Linked DNA regions of Rattus norvegicus. The protein of the gene in region 1 interacts with the protein of each later gene in a biochemical or structural test. Links are inferred from orthologs where the notes say so. Each region holds a gene or a part of one and is shown on either strand. Other genes may lie near its edges.

Region 1 (3,811 bases):
GTTATTCTAATGGAGTCAGCCAGCAGACTGAGGCCATTTTGGCTTGAGTTCCCTCCGACAGCCTTCAGGACAACACAACTTATTTATTGTTCTCTCTCTCCCTGTCTCATCGCCTCTCTCCATCAGAGCGATCACCACACCGGCCCATCCTCCAAGCTGGACTGCCTGCAAATGCCTCCACGGTGGTCGGAGGGGACGTAGAATTTGTCTGCAAGGTTTATAGTGATGCCCAGCCCCATATCCAGTGGATCAAACATGTGGAAAAGAACGGCAGTAAATATGGACCTGATGGGCTGCCCTACCTCAAGGTCCTGAAGGTGAGAACTTTCTGAAGCCCAAGGGGCCAGCAGTGAGGGCCCCCTTGGAGATCTGGCTAGGGTCTTTGATTTCCTGTTGGCTTTCAGAGATGGTTCTCTTTATGGACTGGCCAGTAGAGTATGTTAAAGAATGAGTAGCCATTAGAACTGTTAATAACATTCTGGAGGGGGTTGTGAAGTAGGGTGGGGCTGCTATACTTGGAACCAGAGAATTCTGCTGTTTATTAGCCCTGAGGAGATGCTAAAGCTGGGGTGAGGTATTGCTTACAAGGCGATGTAGAGAGTAGACGGATTGAGTAGATGGAAATAACTGGAAAGCTCTAGACAGTTCTACTAATGTTTTCCTGACGTTGTTTTATGATACTCAATGCTATGTTGATATATAACATTTGAATCAAATTGTAGTAGTTAGAAACAATTCAACTTTCTTTTTCAAAAACATTCCCTCTCACCTTTTATGATTTTTGTGTGGTCTAGAGAGTAAATGGTGTGTGTGTGTGTGTGTGTGTGTGTGTGTGTGTGTGTGTGTGTATTTTCACATCTATAAAACAATGAACGATGAGAATTTCCTTTCCTTTGTATTAAAAGAAATACTTTTTTTTCATGTACCCATTGTTTTGTGGCTTTAGCCTCTTCAGTTTTGGGGCCTGGTCACCTCTTCAGTGCACTGAGCTAAGTCTGTATTGTCAATTCTAAGCCACTGTCTATCTACCATGCTCCTAAGGGGCATAACAGACAGCCAGTCTTCCTATTCAACTATAGGCACAACAGGTGGCTAATGAAGAACACTCAACCTATAGTCTTCTCTCTAGCCAGCAATACCCAGGATCCAAAGTGCTGGAGAAAGACGGCCAGGCTGGAGAGCTGCTCACCCATCCCACCAACTGGTCACCTCATCCGCCCTCCTGTGATCACTACCGTTCTCCACCACTTGACTCATTGTGATCTCCTCCCTCCCACAGCTCTTTAGGTGTAATTCATGGAGATTGTTTTCTTGTGGTGTGTTGGTGGTGGGACCATAGGCAGCACCGAGTCCTTCCTGGTTGGCCGTTATATTGTTTTCCTATGTCTGTTCTAGCACTCGGGGATAAATAGCTCCAATGCAGAAGTGCTGGCTCTGTTCAATGTGACGGAGATGGATGCTGGGGAATATATATGTAAGGTCTCCAATTATATAGGGCAGGCCAACCAGTCTGCCTGGCTCACTGTCCTGCCCAAACAGCAAGGTAACAACGTTTTTGTGTTTGTGTTTTTTATTTTTTATTTTTATTTTTTTTTTTAAGAAAACTGAATATAGGAGTTAAAAAAGACTCGGTGCTTTGGGAGGCAGCAGGCAGCTTCTAGAATAACTCTTGTGGTCTTGGTATATTTATAATGATCTTTCTTTGGTGGTGCAGCTGGCGTCATGCCAGTGGCCATGGAAAAATGCCCACAATGTTCAAAGTGCTTGAAGATTATCTTCCACCCCCACCCTGTTTTCAAGCCCTTCTTTCTGGTCTGTCTTGTTTGGACTGCACACTTCCCGTGATCACTGTGTCTGAGTGCACGTGGGCCTTGCGTTTGCATGCCCGTCGAGTCTGCACTCTCTGATTATTAAGCCAGACTTGGTTGCCTTTTATGCTAGTGACATAGAGAAATGCTAGCATGATAGGATTCACCTAACGAAAGTTTTGTTCTTTGGTTCGATTCCACACCGGATCCTTTCCAAAACTGGAGAATGGTTATCTTCTAGTGCGTATGACACTGGAGGATAGTGAAGGCAGATGGTGGAGTTTTCAGTTATCATTCTTCACACGCAGACATATTCATATTAGAAAAGGAAACAAACCATAAATCCAGTTTTTTCTGTTACCAGTATTACACTTTCTGCCATGTTCTTTCAATGATCATATAAAGCAAGATGATTTTCGGCCTGAATGAAATTAACCAGAATCCAGTCACCAAGATAACGTCCCACCCTGGTTCCCATGGAGCCTGAGGGATGTGTGGGATGTCCACCTGATCTGCCGTGCTTTATTCCATCACACAGAAAATAGAAGAGCCTCCCCTTTTCTCACAATTGGAGTCTGCATCCAACAGGACCAGAACCCAGATTAGCCCTCAGGGTATTATACTTTTTGGAAACCCACTCCCAAATCCATATGCAAACAAATTCAAAGAGAACGGACTCTGTGGGCTGATTTTTCCATGTGTTCAATCGCATGCATGTCTAGGTGGTGACGCCGGTGTGGTGATGGGCCTGCAGAGGTGAGCTGGCCGGTGTCTCTCAGTGTCTCTTGGTTGTGGGCTTTGTGGACGGGCTGCAGTTGGAATCTCCTGATGGCCAGCACCCCCTGGACCTGCTGGGACAAGGCCTCTTGGTTCCAAGGCCCCCTCCACAATCATTCCTATGTCTAGCCTTTTTCTTGCTTCGTTTGTTTTCTAGGCCGCCGGTGTTAACACCACGGACAAAGAAATTGAGGTTCTCTATATTCGGAATGTAACTTTTGAGGATGCTGGGGAATATACGTGCTTGGCGGGTAATTCTATCGGGATATCCTTTCACTCTGCATGGTTGACAGTTCTGCCAGGTACATACAGCTCTTTCTTTCCATGGGTTGGCCTCTGTCCTTGGTTGATTGCTATAAAATTAACACAGCTTCTGTTCTTAGAAATAGCCCCATTTATCCATTGCATAAAGATGTCCCCCAAATGTTTCGAATGATTTCCGACCCCTCCACCCCCAGAACAAGAAACGGTCTTAGAAATTCATGCACAAGGAGATCCCATACTAGAATTTATGGTCACATAAAATGTTACCTTTAAACTCAAAGGGATCTTATAATCTTAGTGAATCATTGAGATGTCGACTCAATGAGCCCATCCCCCAACCCCCTAAGAAGGAAGTCAAAATTACTTTGTGAAATTCAAAGCAATTTGTTTTCCCCATTGTAAATTCCACTTTGCTGAAAGCCCATATGTGGTTTGATGCCTCTTGGTCTGACTCGCTTACCCCTCATTTGAGTGCAGATAAATTTGTACTGGGGTGCCCAGGAAGCACCTCTGAAGGGAGGTGTGCAGAAGCGGTGTGTTACCTTGGGAATCGGGTGGCTTGCTGCATGCCTGGATAGAGCGGACTCTTGGTTTGCTTTTACTGCAGAAGCATGTGTATGCTGTCTCGGGCTCGATGTTATTTCTGCCTCATAGAGAAATAAACATCAGCAAAGCCCATTGCTGTCTAAGCCTTTAACCAACGCCTCTGTTCTAGTCCAACTCTCTTGGTCCATGCTGCTCTCTCTCTCATGCATTGCCTAGCATTTCCTTTGGAAACCTGCATAGACTGGGTTGCAGCTCATGGTACTCTCCTGCTCCTGTTATGAATGCCTTGTTTCTAGAGTACCATGCCTACTGCATGCTTGTTTTATAGCTCGTAAAAATAAATGGATCGTTTTGTTTTGTGCTATGCTGCTGAGAGTTTTGACTACCTTTGCAAATATTTGGTTTATTTTTTTTTC
Region 2 (4,374 bases), on another chromosome or scaffold:
CACCGTCTGATATTGACCATTTGTTTTGCTTAGCCAGAACACAGATGTCTAACTGACTCCCACAACAGAGTAATATATGTTCACCCGATCCTAGCCAGTCGTTCCCTAGTTTAGCTATTTCCTTAAGGAAATGATCTCCTGGGACTCAGAACTGTAGCATACTCAGGTAGGAGTGGGTTATTACAGTATTTCCTTCTTTGTGCCTTTTGGTTCAGGGCAATAGCTTCCTGGTCTTGTCCTGACTTCTGTCTGAGTTTGGGTTGAAAGCTTGTTTCTGAGAGCAGAGGTAGAGTTGGGGGTTGGTGTGCTCAAGACTGTTTGTGGAAGACTGGTTAGGTAGTGAAGCTGCATTGTAAAGTAGAGCCCTTTAAACATTAAGTCTGAAGATGGGCGGGGACCTCCTCTTAATGGTAAAATGCAAAGGAAATTGCATAGAGGAAAAAAAACAGGCAGCAGGGGATTTGGTCAAATTGTGTGATAAAATCTGCGATCTCAGGAAAGTGCATAGGCTTTGAAGTCCATGCGTGATTCTGTAAACGACTCGTGTTACCAATTAGAAATCAGTAACTTGGGTCCCTGATTTCATTTGCGCCAAGAGAGAGGCGATGTTTAAGGGTGACGATAAATCTTCCTGAGCTTAAAAAGACAGAGAGGGCCAAAGTGTGAACTTTTTACTTCAGCAACGGAAGCGAGAAATCAATGATTCATTAAAACCGGAGACCTCCTTGGAAGCTGGCAGGAGAGGAGGAAACGAAGCTAGCTCATTATGTCTCCCTTCTCGACTTTAGCTCCTATCAGTTTATAATCTGCTCTTGGAGAGAGTTTGCCCTGAGCATCCTCTTCTGCCTTCTCCCCAGCCCTCTTTCCCTGGTTCTGGGATCTGGAAGGCAGAAACACATCCACACACAAAAGCCAAGCTCCAAACTCTTATTTTCACGGCCAAAGAAAGAAAGAAAGAAAGAAAGAAAGAAAGAAAGAAAGAAAGAAAGCAAGCAAGCTACACTGGAAAACAAGTGAGCAAGGGGCTCCCTGTAGGGGAGGGGAGTGGTTCCCGCCGGAGGGCAGCAAAATTCGGAAAGCACGCGGACAGCTCGCGCTGGTGGCCAGCGCTGCGAGCACAGGACGCTGGAGCCGCAATTAGCAGGAGCTGCAGGCTGCGGGGCGGCTGCGCCCACGGAGGCGGCGAGGAAGGGACCCGCAGCCCCCAGCTCAGAGCAAAGGCATCGCGCACTCCTCTGGCCCAGGCTCCCCCCTCGCCCCCCCCCCCCGCGGCCTCTTCCCCCTCCCTTTTCTCTGGCGTTCCCAGCAGCTTAGGGTTTCAGATGTCCCACCGCCGTTTGACCCCCTCCCCCCTTCTCCACCCCTGCAAATGAGGTTTGACCAGCAGAGGCAGAGCCCACCTCTGGCTGAAAAGCACTGACATTTAGACTCCAGGCTTCAACCTGTTTACAAGCGGCTTTCCAAGGGACTTGGAGGTGGAGGGAAGGGCCAAACAAAACACCAGCCGCCAGCCGCCCCCCAAACTAGAAGTGGCTTTCGGGAGACTTCACATCAACAGGCACCACCAAAAAGAGAAAGGAAGGAGAAGAAAACAACAGCGCCTGGGTAGCTGCCTCCAGTTCTGACAACTCCAAAGAGACACACTTTTTAAGTGGCCAGCAGGCTGGGACTCTGCAGAGAAGGACCAGAAGGTGCCAACCGCAGAGGGGCGCAGATGTCTTCCTGCACCCCCACCCCACCCACTTTGGGTTTTGTTCACCGTCCTGTCATCTGTTTTTCAGACCTCTTTTGCATCTAACATGGTGAAGAAAGGAGTGAAGAAGAGAACAAAGTAACCCCCGGGGGGAGCGAAGAGCTCTGGTGACCGACACCACCAGTTCCTACTGCCTCGGCCACCCACGTCCACTGTTCACCCTGAGACTGGAGAGACACAGGCAGCGGATCCGAGGACGGAGCGAGGACAGGCAGCCGGCCCTTCCGAGGAGTTATGGATGTTGGTGCACTCGCTTCTGGCCAGATCCGTACCCAGAGGGAGCTAACCAGTAGCCATCACCTCCAGCTGTCTCTTTGCCTCGCACCAGGTCTTACCCTTCCAGTATGTTCCTTCTGATGAGACAATTTCCAGTGCCGAGAGTTTCAGTACAATGTGGAAATGGATACTGACACATTGTGCCTCAGCCTTTCCCCACCTGCCGGGCTGCTGTTGCTGCTTCTTGTTGCTCTTCTTGGTGTCTTCCGTCCCTGTCACCTGCCAAGCTCTTGGTCAGGACATGGTGTCACCGGAGGCTACCAACTCCTCTTCCTCCTCCTCTTCCTCCTCCTCGTCCTCTTCCTTCTCCTCTCCTTCCAGCGCGGGGAGGCATGTGCGGAGCTACAATCACCTCCAGGGAGATGTCCGCTGGAGAAAGCTGTTCTCCTTCACCAAGTACTTTCTCAAGATTGAAAAGAACGGCAAGGTCAGCGGGACCAAGAAGGAAAACTGTCCGTACAGTAAGTAACAAATGCGTGCTCCTCTCCTTCCAATTATCCACCCCCACCCCACGCGGGGAGGGGGGGGGGCAGAATCTGTTCCAGATGTGGCCAGCTAAATATTTATGTCCCCAACCCCTGTAAAATGATGAAGTGGAATACTTTCACACTAAATCAGCCCCCTCCCGAGTATACATTGTGCGCAGCATTTCCTCCACTGTGCAAGCCTCCTCCACATCCCTGGCAGCCCTGTTCCTGATCTCTCTAGTTTGTCACTCACAGGATCACTCCTGGTGCTGTAGAGTTGTTGCTGCTAGGAGATGTCCCATTCTGTCTCCAATACCTTCCCCCATCTCACCCAGAGGTCTCCTTCCCCTCCCTTCTGGAAATGGCTCAAGTAAACACATTTTGTTTCTTTTCGCTGGCAATCTTAAGAGTTTTGGGACAGACTCCTAAAGCTGAAAATAATTATCCAGTGTCAATTGTAGGAGCTTTATGGGAACTTGAAGGAAGAAAAGTCACTTCCACTGTCCCCCTGGTCCCCAGCAAAAGCCCCACCACTTCTAGATAGAGGCTAAAGAGTTTATTTTCCCTGGTTTTGATTTTTTTTTTAACCCCTCCTTTCGGGTCCTTCATTTCGGTTTGAGTGATTGCAGTCCATGAAGTTAGTTTTTCGGGCAGTACCGCTGCTATTTGTCTCCTGCCTGCCTTCTCTCGGTAACATGATGCTCATGTCTGCATTGTCAATCGCATATGCGCTGCTTTGTGGTGTCTTGTTGTACTGTTTCTTCTGAAACCTCTCATATTGCAGAGGCATAGTACTACAGCATTGTAAACATCTGGGACTGGATTCACGCAGACCTCACACAAATTTCATTGTCATCCTTTTATTTTCAAAGTAAAAGCCCACGTCTGTTTTCCAAGGCTGGATCCCATAGGGCGAGGTTGGTCTCCCAGCACACATTCTGCAAGGGGACCCTTGGATCTCTTTCTCTCCGGGTTTCCTTTCTCCCTGGTCTTTCTTTTGGTTCTGTCTTGTGGGGGGTGGGGAGCTGGGGGGCTGAAAGGGGAGGAAGAATGGGGAGAGAAGGGGTGGATACCATGTCTCTTCTTGAATCAAGCCAGCCAAGCCAGATTATTCTGTTGGTTTCCTTTCCTGGTTACTTTCAAGTGCCGAGACTTATTCATCCTCCATTGATTGTTGTTTGAAAGGATCCCAAGGCTAGGTAATGGCGCACTGAAGACAGTAGACAATGACATTTAAACATCTTTAATGACCACTTGGCTCTTTCAGTAAATTCCAAGTCACCTTTCAAGGGGAACTTTTTGTGATAGTTCTTTGGGAATTCTGAGTATATATTGGCCAGTAAACTTAAATATGTGAGTCATAGCCATTTCATAAGTTTCGACTCAGAGTCTATCAGGTCCTGATGAAAGTGACAAATGACCAGAATTAAGCATTTTATTTTTCGATAGAGATTACAGGAATTAAGACTCAGATTTCTTCTCGGAGGACCAACATTAATGTTCGCTAGTCTTCACTTGCTTGTATCCTAATAGCTCATTAAAATTAGCAATGCCTTTATGAGCAATACATTTGCAGAAGCATTTGAAAGTTTAGTTTTGGAAATATTAAATACCTTTTTACATACACACACACACACACACACACACACACACACACACACACACACACACACGTATCTCATTCTGGTGCTTAGAAAGTAGCTGGAATTCTATTAGTAAGAATGAGTACTCCTCCTTGAAAGTCTGTCACTGAGTGCTACGGATCCTATAGATAGCCCTTATGGTTTGATTACCTAATTTAACATTTTTGCCTACTTCTAAAGTAGAATCGGGTGGTGGTACCCACTCAAAGGAAGAACTAAGCTTGGGTTGCAGGTT

What was found.
Region 2: the proteins of Fgfr2 (region 1) and Fgf10 are reported together in a solved structure, tested with the Homo sapiens proteins (3 studies listed by BioGRID and IntAct, with this or other methods). The link is inferred for Rattus norvegicus from reciprocal best matches to the Homo sapiens genes FGFR2 and FGF10.

Annotation. Positions count from the first base shown.
Region 1 is NC_086019.1:194,211,412-194,215,222, reverse strand, and holds part of Fgfr2 (fibroblast growth factor receptor 2), read left to right. Parts: intron 1-126; coding exon 127-317; intron 318-1,395; coding exon of another isoform or gene 1,396-1,543; intron 1,544-2,742; coding exon 2,743-2,887; intron 2,888-3,811. UniProt on the Homo sapiens protein: Tyrosine-protein kinase that acts as a cell-surface receptor for fibroblast growth factors and plays an essential role in the regulation of cell proliferation, differentiation, migration and apoptosis, and in the regulation of embryonic development.
Region 2 is NC_086020.1:52,532,521-52,536,894, forward strand, and holds the start of Fgf10 (fibroblast growth factor 10 precursor), read left to right. Parts: upstream 1-1,418; 5' UTR 1,419-2,144; coding exon 2,145-2,490; intron 2,491-4,374. UniProt on the Homo sapiens protein: Plays an important role in the regulation of embryonic development, cell proliferation and cell differentiation. Required for normal branching morphogenesis. May play a role in wound healing.